Linked DNA regions of Diceros bicornis minor. The protein of the gene in region 1 interacts with the protein of each later gene in a pairwise test. Links are inferred from orthologs where the notes say so. Each region holds a gene or a part of one and is shown in the gene's direction. Other genes may lie near its edges.

Region 1 (3,745 bases):
GTGCAGGCCTTACCCAAGAGTTTTGGTTGTTTCCTCACCTTTTTTCTTTTTTTTTTAACGAAAGCTTTGGGAAAGTGGCGACAGACAGCAAAAGTTTCCCCCCAAGCCAGACCTCTAGATGTGCCTTGCACAGATATACATTAGGTGGGCTGGTCCCATGGAGTCTCCACCATTACAAATTACAAACCACGATTACAGAGCGTTCGCGGAGAGAATAGGAAAGCTCCCACACCCACCCCACCACCTCCGTCCTTTCCAGACACCGCTTCCTGGTCCCAAACAGCACAGATCACCCAAAACCATGGTGATAAGCAGAGCTGTGAAATACACACGCACAAGCCACACATTGAGACCCTGCCACGACAGCCGGGAAAAAAACCGGCCGGATGAGGAGACGCAAGGCGGCCTCCTGTCATTTGAGGACAACAACACGCCCAGGAGAGAAGTGGCAGGAGACAGGGGGAGTTGCCCCGAAAACGAGCCCGGAGCCTCCCTGGTTTTCCTGGGAACGCAATCCCCTCGGCGGCCGTGAGGGGCCGGGCCGCAGGAGGCGGCGCCGGGTCCGGATGGGGGCCAGCTGAGGGAAGCGCCCCCCGCAGGCCGGGCCGGTCCGGCCCCGCCTCGGGGAGCGGATAGGAGGTCGCTCCCTGCCGAGACCCCTTCCCGCCCGTCCCCACTCACCGCCGGTGTGTCTGGTTCTCAGCCGCGAGCTGGGGCTGCCGTGAGGAGGCGGCGGAGGAGACGAGATCCTGGGCCCCGCCGCCGGGTCATCATACCCCCCGCACGAGCCGGCCCGGGCCCCGGCCCCCGCCCCCCGGAGCCGTCCCCGCGCCCGTCCCGCGGGGGGAGCCCCCTCAGCCTCCCGCCCGCTCCGCCGCCCGGCCTCTTGCCGCCGCCGCCGCCTCAGCCCCGCGCGCTCCCGCCTCGGCCTCCCGCTGCCGCCCGGGGCCACCTCCGGGCCCCTCGCTCCGCAGCCGCCGTTGTCGCCAGACCCGATGAGCTGAGCGCCGAGCGGCCGCCCCCATCCGGCCGGCCCCGCCTCGCGGGAACTCTTCACCCGCCCCGCGCCATGACACCTACTGAGGCGGAAGTGCCGAGGAGCGGACGGATGAGAACTACCGCATAGTACTGGTGGGAGTGGGAGTGGGAGTGGGGGTGAGCGTGGGGGTGGGGATGGGGGTCCCTCCGTGGGGAGCCAGCCTGGACCGAGTGCGGGGGCGAGATTCCCCGACCCCTCCGCGCGGCAGACTCCGCGGTGATTTAAAGGTGCTTGGTGGCGGTAGGGGGTCCAGCCAGTGTGACATCACCACAGTCTGGTGTGACACCCCCAGAGATTGGGCAGCGCGCGAGGAGGCAGTGCCTACCTGGGAAGCCCCCCTACTGGTTGAGGAATTACCTCAGTTTAGGCTTTAATGTTTCGTTGCCATGTCGAGACGTTCTAGCAGAGTGACATCCGTGTATGGGATCTGTAAGCCTCCAAGAACATAAGTGCCCCTTAGTGGCTCACCCATTGCTGCCTTGGAAACCTGTGTTTGCATTAAGAGGTGAGAAAGAGTAGCTGTGCTCTGAACCCAACCCCTCAAAACATGCAGTGAGCAAATGCTACCATAATTTTCTTGACTCCACCAGGAGATAGTAAGGCTGGATATTCAGGAAATGGAATGCATTGGGCACATAACATTCTGAAAAAAAGTGGACACTGCGTGACAACTAGATTACCCTACTAAAAGGACAGTTGCCATCTCCCAAGGTCAAGAGATTCTGTAGGACTTCAGATATACCTCCTGCGGTGTAAAATGTTCTAATTCCTAAAGTGGGGGACATTTTTAGGGAGACAGGTGGTATAATCTATCTATTTTTTCTATCCCACAAGTGCTGGAGGCAGCAATGATCTGAGCCCTAAAAGTGACTGTCCAGCACCATAGGTTTTTGCATGTACTCTTTGAGGAGGGGGGGCAGATGTGGCTGAGACAAGATTCTGATATCAAACTGTATTTCTCAGATCTCATTCATTATACATCCTTGACCTCTGGATCCCCATCTCCTCACAAAAAGGTAATTTTTGTAAAGATGTGCTGAAGTGGTTGTACTACCTTTGGGTTTCTCGCCTGGCTTAGCAACACTGGGAGCAGTTCTATTTTATTGGGCACAGGGAAGTTTATTTCCCTAGAGGACTAGGGTTAGCAAAAGTGTTCAATCCCACAGGGTAGTTTTGTTTATTTTCACAAAAACTTAGCGAACACAGAGACCTACATCGGGGTGACCTGGGAAACATCAAGACATATAGAGTGGGCCAGTAGGCCTGTGTGGGGAGCCAGGAAAAAGGCAGAACTTGAGTTCTGGGGTAGAACAGATCCTGCTCCAAAAGCAGACTTGAAACACACACATCGCTTCCCATGCCTTGGTTCAACCTAACTCCATGACATGCTGCTAAGCTTCTACTTGTCCAAATTATCTTTCTTTCCTCTTTTCAAATACATCTCAAAATTCACCTTTAGGGAGCCTTTCCTGATTGACCCCCACTTTACTGTAATTGTTCAGTTCTGCGTCACCATCTGACTACTTAATTTACTTATTTGTACCTTATTTATTTATACTTGTTGATCTCTGTTTTCATTGTTCTTAGGTCATTTCCTCAGTCTATCTCACCACAAGACTTCTTAAAATCCAGTAGTTTCCTCTCTCTGATATCATTCATTTGTCATCCAACAAACTACTTGTGTGCCTGCTCTACACCAGGCACTCTCCTAGACACTGGGTGAGATGCAAGATGAAAAAGACTTGGTCTTTTCGCTCAGAGAGCTTACAGTCTAGTGAGGAGTAAAAAGCATGGGGACATATATAAGATTTGAATGACGGAGTCAGGGAACACATTCAGAGAAGGCACTATTTGAGCGTGGTATGGTCAAAGAAGTTTCAGAGTTTAATGTAGCTGGAGTTCATTTGTCCATTCAGCAAATATCTATTGAGTATCTTCTGTGTGCCAGGCACTATATTAGAAGTTAAAGATACAAAGAAGAAAAGGCATGGTCCATCCCCTGAAAGAGCTTACAGTTCAGCAGAGAAGTGGCAGGATATGGAATTCATAAAGTAGATTGAGTTAGATTTTTGAAAGGCAATGAAGAGCTATTAGAGGTTTGATCCGACAGGTATTATGAGGGAATCTATGCTTAAAGAGAGATCTGGTGGCAGCAGGGAGGTGGATAGCTGGCTAGAGTGGGTGAAGACTAGAGAAAGAGAGCCTAACTAGGAAACTATGATGAGGGTTTGATCCAGCAGGGAACACGGAGAGAGGGAGGCAGATATGTGAACTATCTCCTCCCAGACAAAGTCAGAGCAGCTGGAGAGGGGGATGGAGCTGTTGCTAGTTGGAAGCATTGAAGTCTCATCTAGGGTATGACATCCCCCTAGGGCCTAGAGCCTAGATTCATTGTTGCAGACAAGAAGTGACTTGCTCAGGAGCTGCAGTACTTAAGGCCAAGGAGGAGAAGCTCACCAAAGGCTGTGTCTTGAGAGAGGCTGAGTCACAAACCTAGGCAAACCATCCAAACAAGCAGTGAATCCAAGGGGCCAGGAGGAAAAAGAGAATTCAGGTAGAAGCCAACAGTTGTAAAACTGGGAAAACCACATGAGAGTGAAGATTTGAAGTAAAGGATAGGAGGCAGAACATGGAAAAATCCTTTGAACCTATAAGAAGGAATCCTCAATGATTCTTTTAATCTAGGCTCCAAAAAACTTTTTATTT
Region 2 (3,745 bases), on another chromosome or scaffold:
CGGTGCTTAGACCGAACCTCGGATACATGACCTACAGATTCCCCTTCCACAAAATGGGGGTGTTGTACGGGGAAGTCGAGGGTGCGTGACTGCCCCTCAGTGTGTGCGCGGTGGCCCGTCCGTTGTAACCGCCTACACACAGCACGCCTGACGTCCTCAACACCAGCGAAGCTGAAACACGGCGAGTGCGAGGATGCCAGCTACCCAAGTCCCGGGTTGGGGTTCGTTTGGGCATCACCCCCCAGCGACAGTACCACGTACAGTGAGAAAGCGCTTTCGCACACACACCATCACCACCGTCACCCCCACGACGAGGCTGGCGCCCCCACGTGACAGACACCGGCATACAGCTCCGTGGCGGCGGGGATCGCGCGGGCGGGGGGGTCGGCGCGCGCGTCGGAAGCACCGGCAGGCGCCGGTCACCGGCCGCACGAGAAGAGAGGCGGACTCGTGGGGGCCCTGCTCCGGGTCCCCACACCAGGCGGGCGGCGCACACCTACCGCGGCGAGGAAGCAGCACCGCAGGGCCTTGAACTCCCGCGCGCAGAGATCCTTCCTCAGGTGGCCGCCCTGGGCCGTGGACGCCTGCACGCACCGGCCGTAGGCCGCGGCCTGGGGATGGGGAGAGGACGGGGATGGGCGAGGGTCGCGGCGGCAGTCACCGGGACCAGACCCCGCCCACGCCCCCCGGTCACCAGCGAGCGCCCCGCCGCCCTCCCGTGCGGCCCTTCCTGCCTCGCAGGCGCTGCCCCGCCCGACGCTCCTCACCTCGGCCCCGCAGGCCGACAGGCGCTCAGGGAAGGCGCGGAGGCGGCTTCGCACGCGCCCCCATACCGCTCCGTTCCCCGACATGAGCGGTCCTCCCGACACCCGTGGACGCCGCCATCTTAGGCCCGTCCTCTTCCGGAACCCAACAGCTGGATAGGTCGGCGCTTCCGTCCATAACCTTCCTGCGCTTTCTAATTGGCCAGGCTTCAGCCTCGCCTGTGCCTCTCCTCAGGGCCCGCCCCACGCGAGCAATTGGCCAGCGGGGCCAGACTCGCGCGGTGATTGGGGAGGGCCCGGGGCCTGGCGGAAGCGGGGCGGGGCCGGAAGGTGACCGGCATCATGGCGGGCACGCCGCCGCTGCGGGACCGCCTGAATTTCCTGCACCGGGTGAGTGCGGGCGGCCCAGGCTCTGCTGCGTGCCGCCTCCCCCGGCTCGCCCTGGGCCAGAGCCGCCCACCTCCCTGGACTCTCTCGGCCCCCGCCGGGTCACCGCGCTCCGGCGCCTACGGCTCCTCGGGCTCGGCGTCCCCACCATCCTCCTCCGGCTCCTCCGACCCCACTGTTCCCGACCTCTCCAACCCCCTCTAACCTCCTCCATCCTCTCCAGGCCTCCTCTGACCCCTCCAACGTCCTCTGCCCCCTCCGACCCACCCCCCACCCCTCCTCCCCCCTTCAGCCCCTCCCAAAGTTGGGGGACCCCACTCTGTGTACGTGGCACGGCCAGAACGCGCCAATCCTGCGTCAGGTCCCCTGGGGACACTCAGGCTTCTTGAACAGAACCCAAATTGGGAAAGATAGCAGTGGGACCCGAATTTGTTTTCTTTCTCAACTTAAAGCAGCTTCACAGAAAAAGGAATATAGTGAGCCCTGAACTGTGTCCAAGACCAACGCAGCCAGACACTAGTTTGGGAATCGGGGTGAACGTTTTACTCAGTGACTCTGACAGCAGGGCAAGCTCTGAACTCCATTCCGATTAGTGCGGAGAAGACTGGGCGTTTTAAAGGGAGAATCAGGGGAGAGTGGGGCTCAAGTGAAAAATGTTGAGGGGTTGGGCAGTGTCCATGGGATTCAGCCAGCTGTGTGTGCTGGCTGGCAGTTATGGAAGTTAGGATCCTGTCGCCCCATAGGGACTGGGAGACAAGCCCTGTCCTTCCTGATGGTTACAGTTTGAAGAATGGCCCTCAGGTCCTTGAGAGAGACACTCCTGAGTTGTAGGAAACCCACTTTCACAATACAGTGACATGTCACTTGATGGGGATATGTTCTGAGAACCGTGTCATTAGGTGACATGAACGCAGGGTGTACTTACACAAACCTAGATGACATAGCCTACTACACAGCTAGGCCATATGGTGCCGATCTTATGGGACCACCATCCTACGTGTGGTCTCTCATAGACCGAAACATCGTTATGCGGTGCCTGACTGTAAATGCTCCAAGAAAGAAAGGTCGGAAGTTTGGGGCCTGTCTCCAGGTGTTGACCAGGGTGAACCATAAAGTCTCCTGGCACCTTGAGCTTCCTCCATCATTTCAGGGGGCTGAGATCATCCTCATGCTGTTAGAAGCCCCCGGTCAGTTCTCTCAGTGCAGAGGATCCTCACATGCTGAGAGTTCTGCCGTCCTCTCCAGGTCCCCTTTGGGTCTTGGTGGACGAGTAATGTAAGTAGTGTGTGCACAGGCTCACGGGACACTCAGGCACATGTGTGACACCAGATAGCTGTCGTTCAAACTCTAGTCTGTGGCCAGCCCCTGACGGAATTGTTCTGAGTACCCCAAGGTCTTCTATCCTGTCTACACCAAGGCTCACGCCCCCACATGCTGAATGATGTGGGAATGAATGGGCGTTTCTGGTGTTCATCCCTGGAGACCCTATGTCTTTGTGTTGAGTGAGCACATAGCATCAATACGTTTGTGCTAACAAGTAAACATAAGACGCAACACAAGTCAGTTGTTCTCCCTGTGGGTTGTTTCCTTGGGGTCCGTCCCCAGAAGTGGAGCCGGGGGTTGGTCAGCCTCAGTGGTTATGTCACACTGCCAATGGGTGCTCTGGAAAGACAGAACATTCCCAGACCCCTGCGTGGGGAAGGGGCTCACCCTGTGCTTTCTTGTTTTTGCCGGTCCGTAAGTAGATACATTAAGGGTGCCTTTAAGTCCTCTTGCACCTCTATAAGTGGAGAGGCCTGGGAGCTATGCCACATCCTGAGCCAAGCATAGCAGTCCATCACCGTGGAGACCACCACTGATTGCCTCTTCCCCGGCATCCATCCCCAGTCGTCCAGAAGGGAGGCTCCTGCAGGCTCCCTGTGGCTGGTGAGACCACTGCCGTCCTCTTCAGCCCCTTACCAGATGGTGTGCCAACAGCGAGACGTGTGCGCACCGGTGCTCCCAGGAGCCCCGAGAGCTAGGACTCCCACAGCCACTCAGGAATGGCTGGCCCTTTGGCGCCCATGGGCTCATCTCTGTGTACAATGGTCACTCATCATGGGCAGGGGCTCTCACTCACTTTCAGCTCCCGACTCTCCTGAAGGGAACATCGGATGATGACGTCCCGTGTCCAGGCTACTTGTTTGAGGAGATTGCCAGTATCCTTCCTCGTCCACATGTGGGGGCCCTGGAACAGCATGCAGGGTTCTTGGGGTTCTCTTATCCTGAGGGGGTCCACAGCTTCTTTATCATAGTAACCAAGTGCGGGCGAGGTCTAAAAGCCACATTACCAATGACACGGGGCCCAGGAGACCCTAGAACCCGACGCTCCTGAAACCAGGGCCCAGAGTGGTGCCTGCAGGAAGGACGCACCGAGAAGTCCAGTGGCAGCAAGGCCCAGTTTCCCTCCCTGACCACCGAGGCCTAGTGTGGCCTGAGGTCAGCTTGCTCCTTCCCTAACCCAAGCACCTCCCAGAAATCTCCCACGAGTCCCTGGGCAGCAGCCAGTGCCTCCTTGAGTATCTTCTGAACCGTCTGCACAGCGGCTCTGGCCG
Region 3 (3,745 bases), on another chromosome or scaffold:
GGAACTGGATGACAGATCGGGACTTCCAGCTGACCCTTGGCTGGGGGTGGGCCTAGACGTGAGAGAACAGTCAAGCAGGACCTGGATGAGGGAGCAGGACCTGCAGCAGGTATCTGGTTAAGGCTGGCCCCAAAGTCGCTGGGGTAGGGGGTCTCGCGGACCTCAAAGAGTCCCTTATCGGTGTGAGGTCTGTACTAAAGGACCAGGCCTCCCCAACCCACCCAGAAAATCTGCGCTCACCTCTGCAGCGCCTCCGCCTGGCTCCGCAGCGCCGCGCGCAGGCGCTCCAGCTCCTCGCAGCCGTCTCTGCTGCCGCAGTCCGCCGGCAGCACGAAGAGAGCCGCGGCCCCCAACCCCGCGCTGTCCAGCAGGGCCGCTGTCTGATCCCGGGCCTGGCCTTCATTCCGTGAATCCCCAGGACGGAGGTTCCGCACAGCCAGCAGCGGGGTCCCTCGGGCCAGGGCGGCCCGCGCTGCCTCCGCCAGCGCAGGGGCCAAGGGCTCCCCGTTCCCCTCGGGGCCTGGCAGCACCAGTACCAGCACGTTGGCCTCGGCCGCCCAGGGTCCCGGCGCTGCGGGTGGGCAGCTCAGCTCGCCCAGGAAGAGGCCTGGGCCCGCAGCTCGCAGGCTGGGGATCCCGGAGTCCGGCCGTCCGTCGGGGATTTCTACCATCTCCACAGCTTTGTCGCACAGCGCTGCGATCAGCGCAGACTTTCCCGAGCCCGGCGGCCCCAGGAACAAGGCGGTCACGTCACCCCGCGGCGGAGGCATAGCTGGAAAGCAAGGGGTGGGGAAGACGGGGGTCAGGGAGCCCCCAGCCTTTGTCTTTTCTAGCCGCCCCAGTCTGGCGTCAGACGTCAGTCCTCCACCCTGTTCCCTTCTTCCATTCTCGGGTGTCACTCCCAGGGACCTGGGAATCCGGCGCCCAGACCCTATTCCCCAGGGACCCAGGCGTCCTTTCCGCTCTCCTTCTAGATATGTTTCTCTCTCTGCTTCGAAAACTCAGAAATTCGGCCTCCAGCCCTCTCCTCTCTCAAGGGTACAGATGTTCCCCCCCACCCCCTTCCGAATCACTAACCGAGCCAACGGCCGGCACAAGGGAGAGCGCAGCTGATGGAGGCTGGTCAGCCGCTGAGCACCCCCGCCCCTGGAGTCCGGCGGACGGAGGCCGAAGAGCCTAGAGCGCGGGGATTTGGGGATGTCCAGACACGTCCCGGGGACTCTAACCTGACGTCACTCCTTTTAGGAGGGGGTGTGTCTTGGAAGCGTGATCTCGGAGCACAGCCGCAGCGCCTGCGCAGAACGGCCAAAGTGCGTTCGCTCCCCAGCTCCGGCTGCCGCAGGGCCTAAAACAATGAGGGAGGCACAGCGCCTGCGCGCCAGGAGCGCCCAGCCACACCTGCGCAATGAGCTTAGGTCCTCACGGCACCGGTGGCTTGCAACGTCATCATAACGCATCCCAGTGCGGAGAAGGACCCCACCCGTTATTTTGAGGGCCGGTTGGCGCGACTGCATCATTGCCGGATGGCAGTCCAGGATCTCGGTTTCGAGAGGCTCAACAGGCGAAAGGGCGTGGAAACCACCGGGACTTGGAGACTCGGTGGGCCCTGTCCTGCTCCCCTCCGGGTGGCGGCGCTGTGACGAGCGACTGACAGGCGCAACGAAAGGCAGCCCTGTGCTGTCTGGAGAAAAAGCAGAGGCCTGGGCTACCCGCCTCGGGAGGAGGGAGCCAAGGGCAGTGCTGGGAGCAGCGGGACACGGAGGCTGAAAGCGCGTGGGAGGCGGGGGCTCTGGGTGGAACAAGAGTTAGAGGATGTCAGAGAAGGATGTCTCCTGGGAAGAGGCGAGCTAAAGCGTGGGTACCACTACCTGCCTCAAGACACGTGGGAGAAACGGGAATGAGGCTGATGTCAAAGATCAAGGGTCCTGCGCTGAGTTCAGGAGTTAGTTTGATGTAGAAGGTCATAGGTCTCACACAGGTGAGAAGGCTCTAAGGGGAGTCACAAACCCCGGGGAGTCAAATGGTTTGGGAGGGTTGAAGCTTCTCTAGGGAGAGCTCCATCAGGTTAGAGTTCAAGGAGATGGTATCTGGTGGGGGTCCAAGGCTGGCAAGGAGAGCCTCTATGTCAAAGGTCATAGGATTAGCGGGCCCTCTAAGGCTGGCGAGAGATGAGCGACTTCACTTGATTTACTATTCTATCATCCGTGCTCCTCTCTTGACCAGAGGGGTCCCAGCCACCATGGAGGACCCGCACCCCAAAGAGATCATGGAGCAGCAGGATTCGTCCAGGGAAAGGAGTCCCAGCAGTCCAAGAGGCGACATCTGTGAGTACTGCTGGCCAGAGGAGGGTGGGGTGCAGGAGCTGATGCTAAGAGAATTTCTATAGCATTTTAGTGTCCAAGGTGCTGCAGGGACTTGCCTGTTGGGGTCCTGCCCTACCAGGAAGTGCCACTCCTCACCTTCACCCCCATTACGCTCAGATGTCCCCACCCTGCTCTGTCCACATAAGCATGAGTGGGATGCATTTCAGAGAGACAGAGTGGCATCAAGAGGCTTCGGGTGGGAGATGCAGCTGGGAGAGGGCAGAGACTGTGAGAGGAGCCCTAAGGTTCCAGTCCCAACTCTGCCCCAGACTTCCATTGTGACTTGGGCCTCAGTTTCCCTATCAGTCAAAAGGGGTTGCCACTGCTCACCTCACAGGGCTGTTATGGGGATTAGTGACAAAAAAGGGGAAAGCTTGATATTAATGAAGGTAGCCAGTATGACATATAATAATAGCAACAGCTTCTTCTGAATTCTTATGATGTGCTAGGCGCATTCTAAGCGCTTAACATTCGTTATCCCATTCAGTCCTCCTAACAGACCCTGTAAAATTGGTTACTATCACTTGCAGAAGAGGGAACTGTGGCACAGAGAAGTATCCGTAACAATTGGAGGCAGTATCAACGCCCTCCAGCCAGAGACCACCAGAACACAGCTGCAGTTGCACAAGTTGGGTTTATTGCTCACTGTACTGAGGAAGTGCACACACACCATGGGGGCACTGTGGGGCACCTCAGTAGTAGAGCGTTAGGAAGAACTTATGATAGGATTTGGGCTTGTGATAGGTGATATGGGGGGGGCTCAAGGAAGAGGGGTTTGCTCTGGACTGGATGCTGCCAGGAAGCAGGGGCAATTGTATGGCTGGCCATCTTAATAACTCTCACCTAGAAGGAGGGTGGAACAAAGAGAGGCGCAAGCTGACTGCAGCAGCAGCAGCACAGGCACTCGTGTGAGCCAGGATGGGGGCGTCTGGTCATTTCTGTGGTTTGGACAACATTCACAGTTGTGTCTGCGTTCAGACGCTATTATGGTGTGGTCCTGTTGTCTTGATGCGTCTTAGCCACAGCATGGCCTTGTCTGACGACGTTCTGTGACACCGTTTATGTTCAACAGGAGACCACCAAGGCCAGCTCCCAGCTGTCGGGCTGCTTTTCTCTTTCTCAATAGTAATACTTGCAGACCACTGTGTAGCACTGTTCTAAGTTCTAAGCACTTTATATTAAATAAAAGTTCATGTACTCCTTCCAACAACCCTATGAGGCAGATACTGAGAGGGTTATCACCCCATTTGCCAGATGAGGAACCTGTTGTACTTGCCTAGGAAGTGGCAGAGCTGGGACTCGGTTCCAGGCAGTCTGGCCCCAGAGGAGTCTGGCTGGAAGGGCAGACTCCCTGGGTTCCAGTCTTGACTCCACCATTTTCA

The links.
Region 2: the proteins of AP4B1 (region 1) and TEPSIN interact in binary tests that used the Homo sapiens proteins (3 or more experiments, as listed by UniProt). The link is inferred for Diceros bicornis minor from reciprocal best matches to the Homo sapiens genes AP4B1 and TEPSIN.
Region 3: the proteins of AP4B1 (region 1) and ZNF576 interact in binary tests that used the Homo sapiens proteins (3 or more experiments, as listed by UniProt). The two-hybrid records come from large-scale screens. The link is inferred for Diceros bicornis minor from reciprocal best matches to the Homo sapiens genes AP4B1 and ZNF576.

The regions. Positions count from the first base shown.
Region 1 is NC_080743.1:46,664,918-46,668,662, reverse strand, and holds the start of AP4B1 (AP-4 complex subunit beta-1), read left to right. Parts: upstream 1-1,067; 5' UTR 1,068-1,131; intron 1,132-3,745.
Region 2 is NC_080757.1:60,682,652-60,686,396, reverse strand, and holds the start of TEPSIN (AP-4 complex accessory subunit tepsin), read left to right. Parts: upstream 1-1,073; 5' UTR 1,074-1,106; coding exon 1,107-1,154; intron 1,155-3,276; coding exon 3,277-3,349; intron 3,350-3,666; coding exon 3,667-3,745. Other genes in the region: NDUFAF8 (NADH dehydrogenase [ubiquinone] 1 alpha subcomplex assembly factor 8), read right to left, coding at 501-611, 768-851. UniProt on the Homo sapiens protein: Associates with the adapter-like complex 4 (AP-4) and may therefore play a role in vesicular trafficking of proteins at the trans-Golgi network.
Region 3 is NC_080773.1:18,203,921-18,207,665, forward strand, and holds the start of ZNF576 (zinc finger protein 576), read left to right. Parts: upstream 1-1,486; 5' UTR 1,487-1,825; coding exon 1,826-1,854; exon of another isoform or gene 1,855-2,223; coding exon 2,224-2,324; intron 2,325-3,435; exon of another isoform or gene 3,436-3,745. Other genes in the region: IRGQ (immunity-related GTPase family Q protein), read right to left, coding at 241-770. UniProt on the Homo sapiens protein: May be involved in transcriptional regulation.